2 linked regions of the Astyanax mexicanus genome follow. The protein of the gene in region 2 interacts with the protein of the main gene of each other region in a pairwise test. Links are inferred from orthologs where the notes say so. Each region holds a gene or a part of one and is shown on either strand. Other genes may lie near its edges. The genes, in order: pstpip1a and tyrosine-protein phosphatase non-receptor type 12.

Region 1 (9,315 bases), on a different chromosome or scaffold from region 2:
TAACTAGCTTGTTGATAAGGTCAGTGCTCTCCCCAATAACATTAGTATGTTAGCTAGTTCGCTGCTGACATTAGTTATTGCTAATTTGGAAAAAAAATGTCCTGGTCCCTGATGTCTCTGTCATCGAAATGAGGCAGAATTTACCACTATAATGCGCACCCTATTATAAGGCACACTATCGTCTATTTTCTGATCTATTTTCATACATACGGTGCACATTAAGCAAAGTAAAAGCCAGATAAGCCTTACTCTGCGAGGCAAATAATGCCTGCATTTTAAAAGACTAAAAATTAATAACACAATAATAATGAAACACTAGTTTCTGGACTTCCATAGTTATATAGTGAGTTTCACTAGGCGCTATATCAGAAAGTTTAAGTGTTATGTTCTGTAACTCTTAATGTAGATTAAGTTCTGGACCGCTGAACATCTCAACCGAGGTGCCGGGCTGTTTTCACATGTTATGCAGTCATTTTTAGGCTATGCCATATTTTACCCTCTGAGGGAAACAGATAAGATTGAGTGTTATGTTCTGTAACCGCTAGTGTAGACTAAGTTCTGGACCGCTGAACACCCCGGTATCAGGCTGTTCTCACATGTTACGCCGTATCGTTGTGTAGCTTTAATGCCCATATCTCCTATCACTGAACTATTTACCCAAACCTGGTTTTGTTAGACAGAACCTAATCTTAGAATATGTGCTACTGATAATGGCTAACTGTTTATTTCCACCTAGTTGGTGTTCATAAATTGGAGTTAGATTAGTCTATTTTAGTATCTCACCTAAGTCTCATATAAAATACTGGAAAGACGGAATACGCATTAGGGGGAAAAGGCATAGGCCTGTTGTCTCCTCCCATACAACTCCAAAGGGTGATGTGGATCAGCACAAGACTGCATCTGTGAGCTGATGTATCAGAACCGAGTCGCTGTGCTTTCCGTGTCGAGCGTTAGTGCTATGATGCTACTCAGCAATGCTGCATCAGTAGCAGTTCAAAAATAGGTGGAGTCTGACTTCACATGTCACCTATTGTGTGGGTTGCGTAATAGGCCTTATAAACTGGGGAGAAAATCTGATAAAACATTTTAAAATATGTTTATTAACTATTTGTCAATGCAATAGCACAGAGTCTCTTACCTTAAGTAACTTAAATAAGGGACACGATTAATAATTCAGTAGTAAATAATTTCAATCAGAAATATATGTTTAGATTAGATTTAAGATGATTCACTTTAAACAGTTACTCTGTGATCTTAAAACTGTCCTGATCTTCAGAACACACTAGTACAAGAGTGTGTGTGAGAACACACCGCATTTTGAGGAAATTACCAATCTATGAGAGGAATAGGGAAACTTGCGTTGGTTTATGTGTGTGTGTGTGTGTGTGTGGGGTTTTAAAAATATTAATGAGGAATAGATGTGGGACTTTTGAGCACTGACCCCACCACACACACAAAAACCACACACACACACACACACACACACACACACAGGCACGGAAATGCACACCGATTTAAATTGACTTTGAATGCTTCTTCCTCTTCCTGCTCTCTCGCTCTTTCGCTCTCTCACTCTCTCAGTGCCACTTATAGACGTGTAATTTCCTGACTGATCTTCTGGTTCAGCAGCACATCTTTCTGAGTGTGAAAAGTGAGGCGGGTAGTATCTGCCCCTGCCCCTCGGGTCGTGCTTTTGTGATTTATCTGAAAGTCTGAGACTCACCTCTATCGTCTTCTTGTACTGAGAGACTTTGGTCTTATGAACCTTCTCCATGATTCCCTCAAACTGCAATAGAGAAAGGTTCATAATCAGAGCCCTGCCAGGCCTCAGTGTGGGCTGGTGAGACAGATAGAGGATGAAGGTCAGGATAAAACCCACTGTGTCTTTCTGCACGGACGCACCTTTTTCCGCTGCTCTTTCTGACGTTCTCTGAACTGCTCCATGCGCTTGACTTCTTCTTTTAACATCCCCGAGAGGTGGATGTGCAAGTTTCCGATGTTCTCGATTTCTGTTTGTAAATTAAACATCAGTGTCTGTGGTCCAGTTTAAGTGCATAAATTATAACTGATAAAACCAGCGGGACGTGCCGCCCTGCCACTTACGTGCTTTGAGTTGGTCAAACGAAGCCTTTAAAGTGCTGCAAGAAGAAATGAGGAACGTGTTACTAATATGGATGTGTCTCACATCCACATTCTTTCTGCTTATGTCCTAAGCCTGATTCTCAGTAGTGTGGATTAGTACCTTGTCAGGAGTGGAGCACTCTGTGCGGAGGAGTTAAAAGTTAACCACTTACCCTATTTCACTTTGGCCTCCAGCCTTTCGTGCAATAGCCACTAGCTCTTTGCCATACTTCTCTTCTGCCATCGCCCTGCAAAGAGCAGAAGCCCCTTCTCATCACATCATCACGTCTAAATGAGCTTCAAATCTTATTCAAATGGAAAGTAAATCAATTTAAAAGATCACCTCATCTTCAAGAGCTCCTCCATGTCTTTGCAGGCCCGCCGGCCATCGTAGAGCCTCTGGGTGAGGGCCTCGTACCCGGCGTTGCTAACAAAGTCTGGGCCCTAAGTGCCAGTGGAGGAAGTGTTATCTCTTCACCATCCAGATAAAGTGTTTTTCTCAGCTCATATAACCATAAATTATTTTTAATTAATAAGTTCACATTTAGAGGAAATTATAATCAGGAAAGGCTTGTTTAAACCAACACAGCAACAACGTGGTGTATTTCAGGCTAATTCACATCACAAGATCATCTTTCCATACTACTACCAGTGCGTCATGTCATGTTACTCATCCTGAATTCTGGAATTAAACCGTTGGTGGCTCAGCTCACAAATAGAATGCCACGTCTAGATTCTAGCTGTTCCACACATGCGGGATGATCTCGTTTAGACTCTTTACAGCCACACTTCTGTCCTATAAATCTAAAACTTTAGCAGAAGCAGATCCAGAATGTACTTTTTTAATCATGGGAACAGCTCGACCTCTGGAAGTGCATCAGGTAAAACAGGTTTATGAGGCGAGAGCTAGGATGCAAATGAACCCAGAAACGTTCCGTGCTGCTTTGAAGATTTGTTGTTTTATATATATGTATACATATATCGCTGAAGATCAAAGCCACATGTGTCATGCAGTTCCAGGGGAGAACAATTCTTGAAGAGAATCCGCAAAAAGAGTGGAAGTGGTTTACCCTGACAATGCCGACCTGATTACCGATCCCCCCCACGCTCTAAAAACTACAGAAACACCCATTACCTCCTGGCAGGGAACGCTATTCTCTGACCATTAAACTACGAGATATCTGCTTTAGTGTTTTATTTAGAATGGACAGTAAGAGTGGATTGTGTAGAATATATTATATAGATACATACATACATACATAAAAGAGGGGAGTATATACTTCTACCATACTTCTACACACAACGTAGAAGGTACTGCACTGTCCTGTCTTTAAATTGTCTCGTCTTTTGTATTTATTGTATTTATTGTTATTTAGTGTTATAATTTTATAATTTTATGTTGCACTGTCGTCACTCCTGCACTTTATGTTGTCTATTGCTTGTGGTTCTATGTTGCACCATGGTTCCGGAGGAACGTAATTTCATCACACTGTGTACCTGTACTCAGACGTAATGACAATAAAAGCCTCTTGACTTGACTTGACTTGACAACTCTCAGACTACCATTCTGCCAGTTTATGACAACACTCTACAGCCTAGAACGTGGAACATCCTTCTTTAAAACTGTACAAGAAACACAAGATGAACGTTACAGTTCAAAAAGGAACATTCATATCCAGATATACACCTGCCACACATGGACTTCAGCTGAAACATCAAACTTCTAAAACATCTTAACACATGATTACTTACCCAGAACGCATCTTTAAACTGTAACGGTGTCATCTCAGCCTCTGTAGCTCTGTTTACTCCAGCGCAAACTCCAGCGAAATGCAGTGAGTAAGTCAAATTTTCAGTTAAAAAAGGAACAACAGCAGTACACACAGGAAACCCAAGACCTCACAGCAGTTCACTTGTGCTGCCTGTGTTCGACTAGGATGAGGAAGAGCTTCTGCATTATGTCACTGACCACAGGCGCCCTGTAGATAACAGCCTGTTTTAGTCACCGTTCAAACGCTGGACATAATGAACCTCCTGAAATAGAAGATGCTAAATTGAACAGAAGGTTACACTATACAGTGAAGTAAATAATTATTGAATCTCTTGCTGATTTGAAGTTTCCAAACTGTAAAAGACATGAACAGTCTATAATTTTAAGGGAAGGTTAATTTTAACCGTGAGAAATAGAATATCAAAAATAAAATCCAAAAAAATATCAAATTGTATAAATTATATCAATTGATTTGCATTTTGCAGAGAGAAATAATAATTCAGTCTAGGGCTGCAGCTATTGATTATTTTAGTAATCAAGTACTGTACTGAAAAATCAATTTGATTTATTGAGAAATTGGATAAGACATATTTGTTTGCTTAAAGAGTAATTAAAAATACTCAAGAAAACAAGACATTTTACTTAATAATAAATGACCAATTGATTTCCTTTTTTAAAGTTATATTTTTAACTTCACAGCATACATTTCAAACAGCAAACACAAATAGAAATAAATAAAGAAATAATAATTATTTTTATAATTAGTACTTTAAAACAATTAAGTTAAATTTTTTTCAACAAGGATTTCTTGTAAGTATCAAAACTATAGGGAATAATCAATAAAAAGGCATAAACGTTTGCATTATGTTGTGTGTCTTAGCTTCTGAACAGCAGAGATGTCGCCAGTCCGTCTCACAGAGCCGGTATCATGTATTTATTTATAAACTCCTCAGGCTGAGTCGGTGCAGCATTAAAGTGTGTTGTTGTGGGAGACAAGAGCGAATACACGCTGTTCAGCCTAAATGCTCCATTATTATAGTCGTTTTTGCCTCGTAAGTTGTCGCTCTTTTCCCTCGCTGCTTTAAAACACTCTCTTCTCAACTAAAACCTCCGCCGCCTACTCCTTCTTCCTGTGCGCGGATGGCGTACCGCTAAGCACGTTGTCACATTAAAAGTGTGAATTAGTTGTAAGAAAATGAAAGAAATACAAAATGACTATCAATCAACATCAATCTGGGGTTCCATGCAAACTCTCACCTCGTGGAGTATACTTGATCATGAGGAAGGTGAAAGATCAGCCTAAAACTACACAAGGGGAAGTTCTTAATGATCTCAAGGCAGCTGGGACCCCAGTCACCAAGAAAACCTTTTGGTAAGACATTATGCTGTAATGGATTAAAGTTCTGCAGTGCTGCAAGGTCCTCCTGTCGAAGAAGGAACATGTGCAGAACCGTCTTTAGTTAGCCAATAAATACCTGGAGGATTCTGAGAGTGATTGGGAGAAGGTTCTGTGGTCAGATGGGACAAAAATCGAGCTTTTGGCCTACGGCCGCATGCCTACGACTGCAGCACAGTAGTGCCAATATTACACATTATAGCACTCCATCTCATGTATTATTGCTGATGTATAATTATGTTTAGTATGTCACTGAAACTTTTTTTAAGGGTAGCAGTGTGGCTGTGCTACGTACGGACATGGATAGTGTGAAACAAAAACTGAAATGGAGCATGGCCGCTCCACATGCTCAGATGATATCACTACTCTGCAAACAACCGTGCACAGGCTTAGCAAACATGTAGCTGCTCTGCGGGAGAAACGAGTCGACCTGAAGGGACGAATGAGGAGCACGAATATTCTAACTCTGAATGTGGAGGAGATGTCTGGATCGAGTTTTACCACCGTCTGCAACCGAGGCAGCAGGGGGGGCAAGCCTTGTGCTATTGTGGCCAAACTTCACTATTATCAGGACTGTGTGGACACTCTTCTGAGCAGGAAGGCCAGGTCTCTGTAGTATAATGACATTTTCATTCCCCGATTGCCCACCCAGTGTAGCCTGCGCCAGTTCAGCATTTAACAATGTTAAAAACATCCTCCGCAGGCAGAAAAATACTCGTTTCTGCATTTTTTATCCAGCCAGGCATGCATATGCATAAAAAACATGATGGGACTGAAAAAGTCCCAAAATATGGAGGCAGAAAAGTGACATAAGCATAAATAAATAAATGGAAGTATAAATGAATAAATAAATATATAAATACATAATTGTATAGATAAATACATTAAAAGTACACACTTAAAATATTTCCATGCATAAACCTTTATTTAGGGCTGTTTCTGCATTTATTTATATATTTATTGATAAATATATTGCTACATTTATTTACTTCCATGACCCTCATTATCTGATGATATTTAAACTCCTTCTGTTAGGTTTATAAAGGGTAAAGGATGGTTTAGTTCAGATCAGTAAACAAACTCATTAACTGATCTGGTGTGAAAACACCCTAAAAGAGGGGTACGTGTCTAGTTGCATCCATGCACAAAGCCAAAGCATGCGTGCGTTTCTCTAATTCTCAGACAACAGAATTCTTAAATCTGCTATATTAATCTGTAAGAAATTGTGGTTGCCTTTGCTGAAGTGAAAGTTCACAAACAGCAGTTGTAGATATTTGGCACATAAAGGCCTAATTCTTATATGTGTGTACTCTTATTTATGTTGGATTTAAAATTTATGTTAAATATAAGTTGTGTGCTTTTTTTTGTATAGGACGGGAGTGTTTGTTACGCCCCTGAGAGAGGGGATAGTGGAAAATACCAAATTTAATGAACACAGGACACACTGATGAGTGTTCAAAGCAGCATAACTTTAGTATGATGCAATCTCAGCATGTGCTCTCTGTTCCCCTCACTCAGTCCAAACTAGACACGCCCCTAGCACAGGCTCAACCAACTGGTGTACACAGTAATAACCCAATAACTTGAAATACAGTGACTAGTAATAATATCAAAACAACACAGAACTATTTTCCTTTTTCTCTATATATTTTCTTTTCTTTTTTACATATATATATTTATATAGATATTTTTTATCTCCCTTTTTTCAGTATATCACACACTCCCCACCAATATAGATGTCGTCCCGACATCACAAAGAATGTGTTTGCACATTACATTTTTTTTCAACCATTTTTTTGTATATAGCCAACAGTCAAACTCCTTTCTGTTCTTTTAGGTAAGTCTCTACTGCAGAAAGGAAATGTATTTCTATTTATCAGTGTCCACTAACATGAACAGTGTCTTCTTTTTCCTTTTTTTTTCCATTCTGCAAATTTGTGTGCTCTGCTTTTTCACAGTCCATGCGTGTTGCAAGCATATGTGCGCATGTGAGAGGGAAAGTCTGTTTATCTTATGTTCATGTCCATTGGGTAAGTGTACTCAACTGCTCTGTCTATCCACAGTCCATGAGTGTTGTGAGCATAGGTGTGTGTGTGTGTGTGTGGAAGTCCTTTTAGTTCATGTCCATATTCATCAGGTACTCTGCTTATCCACAGTCCATAAGTGTTGTGAGCAGGGGTGTATGTGTCAGTTCAGTTTCTTTTTAGTTTGTGTCCATCGTATGTGTACATGACCAATCTGTTTTATCACAGTTCATGGTATGTTTCAAATGTATAAGTGTGAAAGTTCTTTCAGGTGTTGTCCATCCCTAGTAGGTATATGTAAACAACTCTGTTCACAGTCTATGAATGTTGTGAACATATTTGTATGCGTGAAAGAACAGAGGTGAACAGTCCATCAACATTCCCAGGATGTCTTTTACTCAGTTCCTATGCAAATGCATTGAACAGTAATGCCCAGGGGGAAAGTAAAATTGTGTAGGGTCCATCCATGTTTGTCTTGTATGTTCCACATCCCAAGGCCAAGGAAAATGCCTGTGAGTGTCACTTTCTGAAAGAGAAGCTAGATAGCATACTGGGGTACCAAGCTGGTCATAGGTGAATAACTTTGGTGCTCGCTTCTCTCTGTTGGGTCGTTGATACTTGTACTTTGCCTTCGTTTCATCATCAATGCTGTCAGCAGCAGTACACGGAGGGAGTGATTCGCTTCTCTCAAAGAAATTATCCTGTTCAACTGTTTGTCTCCCTTGAGCAGACATCTCTGGCTGAATGTCCTGATCCAGAGCACAGTTCCTATCGTGGGCCTCACTTTGCTGGGGCACATTTTCCAATCCAAGAACTTGATTCTCAGTTTGTACAGCTGGCTCTTGAGCTTTTGTCTGAATATCACGTCCAGTGTTGCAACTGTATTGAGGCTGTGGCACAGTTATGCAGTGGTATTCATAGTCATCCTCATCACTGTCAGTCCCTGCTTGAATGTTCTCTTCTCTTTCTGGGTTTTTTTTCGTTCTCTTCTTTGTTTTTTTGAGTTTGCCGTCTTGAGTTGGACCTCTAGTGGTAAGTAATCCGGTGTAGGATTCTGCTTCCTCTTCCTAGCTCCGGAACAACTTCATAGATGGGAATATCTTTATTTACTTGCCATACAACTTTGTGAATTTGTTCCTCCCAATGATTTCGAAGTTTGCCTGTCCCACCTCGGGGTGTCATGTTTCTCACAAGAACACGATCGCCTTCTTGCAACACAGAACTCCTGACTTTCTTATTGTAATTCCGGTTTCCTCTTTCGGCAGACTTCTTGGCGTTCTCTCTTGAAATCTCATATGCCTCCTGCATTCCAGATTTCCATTGCTTTACATATTCCTGATGATCACCTGTTCCACTCTCTGGAGTTAGGCGGAACAAAAGATCAACTGGCAGTCTCGGAGGCCGTCCATAAAGAAGATAAAAGGGAGAAAACCCAGTGACTTTGCTGCGAGTGCAGTTGTAAGCATAAATGAGCTTGTTTAGCGAATCCTTCCAATTGGATTTTTCTCTCTCAGTCAGTGTTTTCAACATCTGGAGGAGAGTTCTATTAAAATGCTCCACCTGACCATTCCCTTGGGGGTGGTACGGTGTACTTCTAGAGCCAATAACACCACAGTTTTTCTTCAACTGTGCGAAAAGTTGGTTTTCGAATTCACCTCCCTGGCCATGATGTATCCTCATGGGAAATCCGAACTTCAATGCATAGTCACCGAATATCTTGTCAGCTACAGTTTTAGCAGATTTTGATGTCGTAGCATATGCCTGAACAAAACGTGTGAAATGGTCAATTACTACCAGGATATACTCGTATCCACCTGAGCTTCTGTCTACATGAAGAAAATCTATTGAGACCAGTTCAAAAGGCTGTGACGTAACAATGTTTGTGAGAGGAGCTCTAGTTTCTCGACTTGGTTTCTTCTGCTTCAAACACACACAAGAATAGGAAACATAGTGCTCAACATCCTTCTGCAGGTTAGGCCAGAAGAACCTATCTCTGATTAATG
Region 2 (9,315 bases):
GGGCTGGGAAAACAGTCAGAAGGGAGCACTAATAGCTGTACTTTAAACCAGAGAAAATGTCTTTTGCGACAGGATATAAGAGCAAATAAACACTCTCAGTTTCTCAGTCCCACCCCAATTTCAGTAGTGGATTCTGATAGTTCTGATAGTGGGACAGTGATTACATTATGTTTTGGCATGAATACCATGCTGCTCCTAGACGAAATGCAATCCTGTGCATTGTGATTTGCTTTCGAACATTTGCAGCGCCACACTGTGAAATACAATGGCATTAATCTGATTGCATATTAAGGTTTGGTTGCAATTCTGACACAATTTTTTTGCGTATGGTAAATTTTCAATAAAGAGATCAAGTGCAGTGAAATATAATGTAATCTTCCAATTTGGCACTAATTTCTCTCCATAATTTACCAATTAAGCAACCAAAGGCCAGTTTTAAGTGTTCTAGTTCATAGTAGGCTAATCACTTCTAGTGTAATATTGGTACATGAGATGCAGTATCTTAAAGGTCATATACAGTATATCGTGCAGTGTTTCACCTTGTTCTAGCTGTCCATGCATATTCATAAATCCACCAAAGTATTGGATTCTGGTAACACAACTGGTTTCCAGATCAGCAACATGGCACATGTAAGAGCACTGAATCACATCTACTGATTGTGGAGTTGATGAGGATTGCTGTCAGTAATTGTTCCCCTGCATGGTTTTACAGGTAAACTGTACCAAATGTCTGAGCCCAGCCAGTGGGTACAGTTGACATACTGTAACTTGTCACTGCTGTTAATCTAGAAACTATGTGAACAGAATTAATGAGGACAAAAAGAAAAAGAAAAAAGTGTAAAGGAGAAATTCCTCAAAGTCTGGAGTCTGAGGTGTTCATAGTCCACCGTCTGAATTCTAATGCCCACTCTTTTGGTACTGTGAGAGCCCAGTGCTTTTGCCCGACACTGTGGAGGGGCAGCTGGCTCTTTGACAGCTTGGGTCCAGCGTGCCCCCACAAACCAGCCTGAATGGGGCGTTTTGTTGTCATTGACGGAGCCAGGGGAACCAGGAGCGCTGTTTCTGGTTCCTTATTGAGTCCAGTTTAAGCATCAGCTCTACTTAAGGGGATCTTGGCCGTCTGAGGCCGAGGGGAATTACTGATGAATAAGGTTCCATTTAGCTCTCGTGTGGTGATGATTCACTTCAGAGCTTTGAATTCACTGCATTTCCTATAAAACCAGGCCAGAGACTCTTTTAGAGAGTTAATATTTTCGTTAGAATGGGAGAAAAGCAAAGGATTTTTCTATAATGTATAGTGTAATAACTTTATTTAGCGTATATAATAAAAACAGTGCATCAGAGTTCGACAGGATTAGTTAAACTTGCTGTGTATGTCTAATCAGACAGAAGTATATTAAATCAGTTTTACTTAGCAGTTACTTAACAGGAACTGAAAGCACTGAATAGTGTAAAATACAAATACATTATTGTACACCATCTGCAGCATTTCCTGTAAAACACATAGTTTCAAGCTCTTTTCACATACAGTATTTTATGCTGTACATTTTATACAAAGAGTGCTAATAAATGTATAGCATGTGTACACAATGTACAATTATCTGTACAGACTCCATTTCTGAATATATTTTTTGGAATTAATATAGACTTTCATATAGGACATAAAACAGCCTTGTGATAACGCAGAGCTAGTTGTATTCAACAGTTCTAAATGGTCTAGTTGTTTTTTTTATATATATATTCTCCAAAATCACCTGAAATTTACTCTTTTTACATTGACTTCCATTGAAAGTGAAGAAGATTCTTTTTTGAAGATGTTTTTCACTGGTCAGCAACAAAAGATTGTTTGTATTCTATTCTTATAGCCTGTACTGTGGTCTTGCAGTGTAGAAATAACATTTACATGATAATTATTAATAGTAATATTGTTATTTGTGGGTAGAAACTTTCACCTAAAAGCATCATGAGTGTAGATTGAGAACCCTAACATTAAAAACCTTTAAATGAATGAAATGATTCAATTATTAATGCCTATTAGGCAATGCTAAATAAAGGTTGTTTTCCATCATCAACTTTAAAAGAATGTTTATTCAATGTAATATGCTACAAAAACAACACAGAGTGTCAATTCTAAAGACAAGTACAGAACAGACAAGGGTCATCATGCTTTTTTTATTATAAAGAGAATAACATATGAATTAAAAGTTAATACAGGGAGGGTGTTTTGGCATGAAAGTAGCTGAAATGACCTACCTGCATTAGTCCTTCATTATCTTTGGGGTCAATTTGACCTTGTTTAATGTTTAATGTCTTTAAATAAATGATATATGTATATGCATATTATATAACAATTTAATGTTTACAAATGAAGTTTAAAAAAAGATTGCGTATGTGAAATAGAGGCAGAGAAAGGTGTTCCCCTTGTGTGAATATTTATGAAGCGCATGCAAAACATAGAGTGTTCTGATTGGCCAATCGTTTTTTAGTGTTGGCGTGTTCAGGATCATTATGGCTCCCATCAAAACTCATTTCACCTCTGACTACTCTAAAGTATATCCATGTTTGGTAAAAGTAAAAAACAATAAAAGTCTTGCCTGCTGTACAGATAATAGTAATAGTGATTTTAGCAATACTCTCGGGGGACTAAATAATTGCAAAAGGCATGTTGAAGTGAGTTAATGTGATATATATCACAAGGGGGGAAGGGGGTGTCCAAGTCCAGGTCCGGGGGAACCTACGTGAAAATATTTTTTGCAACTAGGTTTGTCTGCTGTATGTATTGTATGTATTTAGCCCAGCTTAGCTTAAACTATTTGGTGCCTGAAAAAAGAGGTACATAATACACATAAATAAACCAAGTTTTGATCATGTTGAGTTAGTAAAACTCCCCGAACTCCTACTGAACCGCACTGTTGTGTACCGTGTGACACCCCTGAGCTAAACAATCTTAAACCCTGCTTTGTGAAATGCTCCCTCCTCCTCTCTGTGAGAATTAGCCTGAAGACAGTGCTGTTCTGAACACTGAACAGCTCCCTCAGCTCACTCAGACACAAGTAAAAGGCAGAACAAGCCCCGTTATATCTGACAGATCAATGGTGTTAATACTGTAAACACGACCTGGTTCTGGGAATCGACATTCCTGTTCTACACAGACACACACATTTTTCTGTTTCTCGATTATCCACACGTCACCCTAGCGGTGGGCGGACCCGAGCGAAACGCGACTGGAATCTGCGTGGGAGGGGCTTACGGGCTTTCAACCAATGGTAAACTTACTCAACTGAGCACGTGACCACCAGCCTTCTCTTTTACAGCCAGCGACTCGAAGCGTTCGCGTTAGTTTGATTGACACCGGGGCTGTCCAATCAGGCGCAAGCTGCCGTGGGTCACAATCCAATCACGGAGCGTCCTTCCCACTAGAGGGTGGCAACGTGTCCGAGCGGCTTTTGGGCGGTCCAGCCAGTTTTGTTTCAGAGTTTAGTTGTTAATGTGGCAGTGAGGAGACAGGGAGGGGCGAACCGGCGTTTTGTTTGTTGTTTTTTTATTTAGATACATTTAAAAAGTATTAATATTAACTGCTTGGTGCGTTAAAGGAGGAGTGGGGACATTGTTACCTACACCCTAAGACTGTAGCTTAGCTCACCCGCTTGGATTACATGTTGTTTTCTCTCATCCGGGAGCACAGGGGAGCATGGAGCGGTAGAAGATGTTGGAATAACTGTCAGAGAAGATTTTTCTTCTTTAAGATATTTATTTAATTTATTTTTCTATATTTTTTTCGTATTCGGGAGTAGTTAACGTATCTAACTAACCGTGGGAGCAGCAGCGCTCAGGGACCGGAGTTGAGGATGGAGCAGGCGAATATCCTGAGGAAGTTCATTCAGGGGGTTCAGGCCATGCGAACAGGGGACCAGGGAGGAGAGGACAACTTCGGCAGCGACTTCATGGTAAGAAGAAAGAGGAGGAACAAGAGGAGAGACCGAGACCAGCCACACTAACACAATAAATAACCTAGTTAATACATAATTAACACACACGATCGCACTCTGTCTCTGCTGGTTTAATAGTTAGTTAGTTACCTAGGTAACTAGTTAGTTAACTGGTTAGCTTAGCTAACAGTCCTCCACCAGTGTGAAGCTGCTTTTACAGTGCCCCCTTTTCTCTCTCTCTCTCCCACTCCAGACTACTGTTCCCTGCGCTGAAGCTTTGTACAGTCTGTACTGACCTGTAGTTAGCTAGGGTTAGTTAGAAGGCTCCGCGGTGTTATGTCCAGTTATGCTACCCATCGATACGTGCTTCCTAAAGGCAATGCGCATGCGCTGACCTACACCTTTTCATTATTTCTCGCGTTTTTAAATAATAAATCATTTTTTGTGCATTAAACAACCTGGACTCACTGTCATTACACAAACGTGTAAATGGAAGCGAATATAATTTATTCAATAGCTTATAATTATTATTATAAAAAAATATATATATTTATATAAACAAAAGCAGTTTCTAATAACCCCTCATTGCCATAATAGTGATTTATGCTATCCATATATACTAGCTAGCTATGTCTACTGGGACTTTTACTGAGAACATGCTGTAATAAGGTGCTTCTTTTATATTTTTACAGTTAAATATACACACCAGGGCAGCACGGTTTGACAAGGTAGCACAGCTCGACAGAACACCGGCTGCGGCCTACGCCGACTTAGCTGCTGTAGAGTTAACTTAACATAGCTTTTTCTGTAAAAGCCCTGTAAATGTTCCTCTATGAACGGTTTAATTTACAGGCTGCGACTTGTAGTTAAAAACCCTTATTGATGTTTCTCTCCTGACGGTTAGCCGCAGCTAGCTAAATGTGGTCAGAGGGAGAGATTTCTACATGAGTGTGAGTGTGCTGTTGGGTCACATCCCTTTCTTAACTACATACCAGCTGGGTTATTTAGTTAGCTTTTATTTAAAACGTCTCTTTAACGTGTACGACAAATTTGTAACCTAGCTAGCTAACAGCTAGGTTGGGTAGTTAGCTAACTAGTTAGCTATATGTGTAAGTTACTGTATTTTCCCAAACATTAGACATAAAGCTAGTTAGGTAGTAACCTATGGTTACACGCCACTGTGAAAGCCTCTAATATTAATACTAGTGAATATTTACAGCTGATAGCTAGTTAACTAACCTATATCTGAATGGAGAGCTTCTGGTATTAAGAAACTGCACTACATATATTCTGAATTTACGGTTATAAGATGGGTTAGGACTGGGAATAGGTAGTTATCCCGCTTGTCACTTTTCACGTCTAGAACGCCTTCTTTTTGCCACACTGCTCTACTCTCTCTCTCGGCGTGTTCAGGGCGGGTCATGTAGGTGAATACTGACTGTCAACACTGTGGAGAGAACATGTTTAAATGTCTGGCTAAAATGTTAGTCTGCCTTCTGTATAAACTGCCAGCTAAATCTCTGATGTTTAGGGTTTATTTGCACTGTGAAAATCCCGGTTACAGACTTTTGTTTGCTGGCTAACATTTGGACACAGCTAAGCTAGCAGCAGCAGCCGCTAACGTTAACAGCGTCTTTGTCCAAAACCAGCGCTGTTCGCTGGGAAGCAGCGGGCGGCTCGGGCTTGTTTCTGCTCTGTTTAAAAAAAACAGAAGACAGCTTCTATAAAGAAGTCAGCACGTATGTGTATTTTCCGGAAGATATGGACACGTTAATGGGATAGTTAGTTAGCTAAACGGGCGGTTTATGGGGGTCCAGCGTGGTGGTGGCGGCGGTGGTATGAGGGAGTTCCGCGGATGTTGCGCAAGGAGCTGAGCCGTTTAAGCACAGAGAGGAAGAGGAGGGTTTCTCACTCAGTCCAACACTGAAAAAAAAACCCTGAAAACCACTGAAATAAACACGATAAACTATTGATTCCAGAATATAACGTCAACATCAGGGATAGCCGAAACATTATACACGTGTGTCACGTTGGAAGGCATTTGTTTTAATTGCTTTAAGTATGGACGATATGGCCCTTAAACAATATCACGATATTTCTTAGTATTTTCGCGATAACGACACTTTTGGCAACATGGCAAAACACCGAATTACAAAATTATTTCAAGAATACACTACTGCAACAAAATGAAAATCAATGATTCAGAATGTTGTGATACTAATAATGCACTACAAATATCTCCACATATCCAAAACTGAAGTAAAATAAATTATACTGGACAGATATAATCTGTCTATAGTAGATATATAATGGTAAATGAGAACAGTGTGAATTTTTCTTTTGCTAAAAACAGCAAAAAAGTAGTACCCTGATGTGATAATATTGGCAATATTATTGCGTACCATACAATATAGCAAATCCCTACTTTAAATGCCTGTACTAATCAACTAGCGTAATAATCATGACTGTAGACTGTGACTGTAGTCACACAAGTCATAATAACTAATGTGGGGAATATAGGGATATCCCAGCTGGGATCCAGACAGTTTGACCATGGTCTTGTCCATGTGGGTCCCACATATGGATGACTGATTGGACCATGAATGGTTACACATGGGCCCCATTTGGGAGATGCACTGCACACACAAGCTTAAGGTGGGCTATAATGCTGGGACCCATTTAGAATAAGCATGATGACTGGGACATTGGTATATAATAGCTATGACATGACTGTAGAATGGCTTAGGGTCCAATCAGGGACCCAGAACCTATTAGGACTGCATTAGACAGTAAACACTTTTTTATAATCAAAAATATATAATTTTAACATATTTTTATTGTGGTATATACAAAAAGAGACCACTTAAAATGATGTGTTTCTTTGATTTTTATTGAAAACCTCCTGAATATAATCAAGAGGAAGATGGATGACCACAAGCCATCCAACCAAGCTGAACTGCATGCATTTTTGCACCTGGAGTGGCATAAAGTTATTCAAAAACAGTGTGTAAGACTGGTGGAGGAGAACATCCTGGGATGAATGAAAACTGTGGTTAAGGTTCGGGTTATTTCACCAAATATTGATTTCAGAACTCTTACTTGTTTTCTTTGCATTATTTGAGGTCTGAAAACACTGCATTCTTTTCTCATTTTTCGCAAATAAATGCTCTAACAATATTTATATTTGGAATTTGGGAGAAATGTTGTCTTTAGTTTATAGAATAAAACAACAATATTCATTTTACTCAGACATATACCTATATTTAGCAAAATTAGAAAAAAATGATTTAGAAACTGAAGTGGCCTCTTAATTTTTTTGCAGAGCAGTAAGTTAAATTATTATAAATTATTGTCCAGCCAAATTATTGTCTTTTTGTTAAGATTTGCTTGATTCAAAATACAGAAACCTGTAGAATACCAAGATAGTCCTGATTACTGTATCCTACGAAGGTATTGCTGCTGTTGTCAACAGATATATGAAAGTGTGTTAGGCCTCTGTTTTTCTCTTTTGAGAAGTTAACATGCTGACCTGTAATGTACATTTGGGGAAGAATCTGTTGGTGAAATTTGACTTAATGTAACTTCCTGTAGGTTGCTGTTGCACATACTATACTATGTTGCCTTCCTTTCTGTATTTATAGTTTGTTTAAAAAGTCCATAAATATGTGCTTTCCACAGTTGCAGCTGGGCAGTATTTTGCAGTGGGAGGTGGGTGGGTTATTTAGTGACCGCGATGCCTTTTTAAAATCATTTAGTGATGCCATTAGATGAACTCTTATCTTACATTTTCCATTTATAACTTCTAATAACTTCAACTCTAATATGGGGTTTTGTACTGAAAACAGGTATTACATTTACACAACATCCCTCATTAATTTGGGGCTTTGTGTCGTCCATTTCTGCACAGTTTTCATGGTTCTGTTTATTTCTTTACATGGTTCATGTCCAGAGAATTGTGGATAACCGAAGGCTAAGGATGCATTAGTTGCATCCTGTAATTTGCTTCTTATGTTAGCTGCATTTCTTAGCTCTATATGAAAGGTCCTTATGTAAAAAGACCAAGTTTGCATATTTTGACTTCTTTTTACTGAAAAATGATTGGTACGTTTCATATTTTTTCCTGAATATACATCTTTTACCATAAAGAGCACATTTCAGGTTTTAATGATACAAATTCTTTAGGAGTTAGTGAGAGAAGTAAACTACTGTATATGGAAATAAGTATTGGATCACTTGCTCATTTATTGTTTATTAAAAAGAGTATACTGTTTTGTTGGAGTAACAAAAGATTTTCTATTTAATTTTGGAGCACAGCTGTGTGGATTTGGTTGCATTCAGTGACGAGATCAGAATTGCCACTCCAACTCATCTCTATGTCTAAAAACACATCCCAGAATTACTGGATGGAGCACCATTATTCTAGAGAACACTGCTCCACTGATTTTCTCTTCTCTACTTCTCTAAAGGGACTAGGTTAATTTCGTTGCACATCTGTGTCAGCAATGGGTGTCTGAGCCTACTTAATTTATTTTTATTTGAGGGTTTTCACACTTTCTTCTACAGCAGTCTCTTCATAGTCCCTCTGAGCATGAAGGGAACTGAGTCGTACAGGGTTATTAGTTTATTAGTGCTATTAGTCTGTACTGAGCGATGCTATAGACCCCCTCTGGTTTACAGAGCAGTGTCACCCTCTTCATACATTTAGCACTTTTTCTTTCCCGCTGTCCTGACCTCTTAAGGAGTGAGACAGCTTTGATTCACAGACAGCTGGACAGTGGAGGGCTTGGGTGCGACAACAGTCTGGCTTTGTTGTGTTATTCTCCTTGTTTGCTGATTCAGCCGCAGGGTGTGAGTATAGCCATGGCTTTAACATTAGAGCAATAGAGTGTAGAGTACAAATTTCATGTTCAGTATTTACTTGTATTTATTTGTAATTATTATTTTGAGAATTGGTGTGTTTGTTTTGTGAGTGGACAGGGGTCTCGTGCAGGCATTGTGTGTAACAGACAGAGCCAGAGGGCAGAGTTCACACACATTTGTGTCTTGCTGCTCCTCCTGGGGGATGAGTTGGGGGAGGGGGTGGAATTGACTTACATCTGAGCCTACATCTGGTGTGTGCAGTGCTAGAAATGAGCTTGTCCAGGCTGCCATACTTACCCTTACAGTAACCAGGCCATCTTCCATCATAAAGAAAACTCCTTCCAATGGTTCTTTGAGGTCTCATGGTTCCATAAAGAACCACTGCCTTTACTACAGACAGTTTACCAATTAACATTTTCTCACATTTCTCACATATGCCTCACTACCAGAATCCAGACTTTGATCCTAGTAGCACATTTACTATCGGAATGCCTAAATATACCTATTCCTAAATGATACTGTGGCA

The links.
Region 1: the proteins of tyrosine-protein phosphatase non-receptor type 12 (region 2) and pstpip1a interact in binary tests that used the Homo sapiens proteins (3 or more experiments, as listed by UniProt). The link is inferred for Astyanax mexicanus from reciprocal best matches to the Homo sapiens genes PTPN12 and PSTPIP1.

The regions. Positions count from the first base shown.
Region 1 is NW_026040047.1:1,866,261-1,875,575, reverse strand, and holds the start of pstpip1a (proline-serine-threonine phosphatase-interacting protein 1a), read right to left. Parts: upstream 4,372-9,315; 5' UTR 3,907-4,371; coding exon 3,874-3,906; intron 2,566-3,873; coding exon 2,465-2,565; intron 2,370-2,464; coding exon 2,295-2,369; intron 2,139-2,294; coding exon 2,104-2,138; intron 2,010-2,103; coding exon 1,903-2,009; intron 1,787-1,902; coding exon 1,724-1,786; intron 1-1,723. UniProt on the Homo sapiens protein: Involved in regulation of the actin cytoskeleton. May regulate WAS actin-bundling activity. Bridges the interaction between ABL1 and PTPN18 leading to ABL1 dephosphorylation.
Region 2 is NC_064409.1:36,016,627-36,025,941, forward strand, and holds the start of tyrosine-protein phosphatase non-receptor type 12, read left to right. Parts: upstream 1-3,459; 5' UTR 3,460-3,848; coding exon 3,849-3,947; intron 3,948-9,315. UniProt on the Homo sapiens protein: Dephosphorylates a range of proteins, and thereby regulates cellular signaling cascades. Dephosphorylates cellular tyrosine kinases, such as ERBB2 and PTK2B/PYK2, and thereby regulates signaling via ERBB2 and PTK2B/PYK2.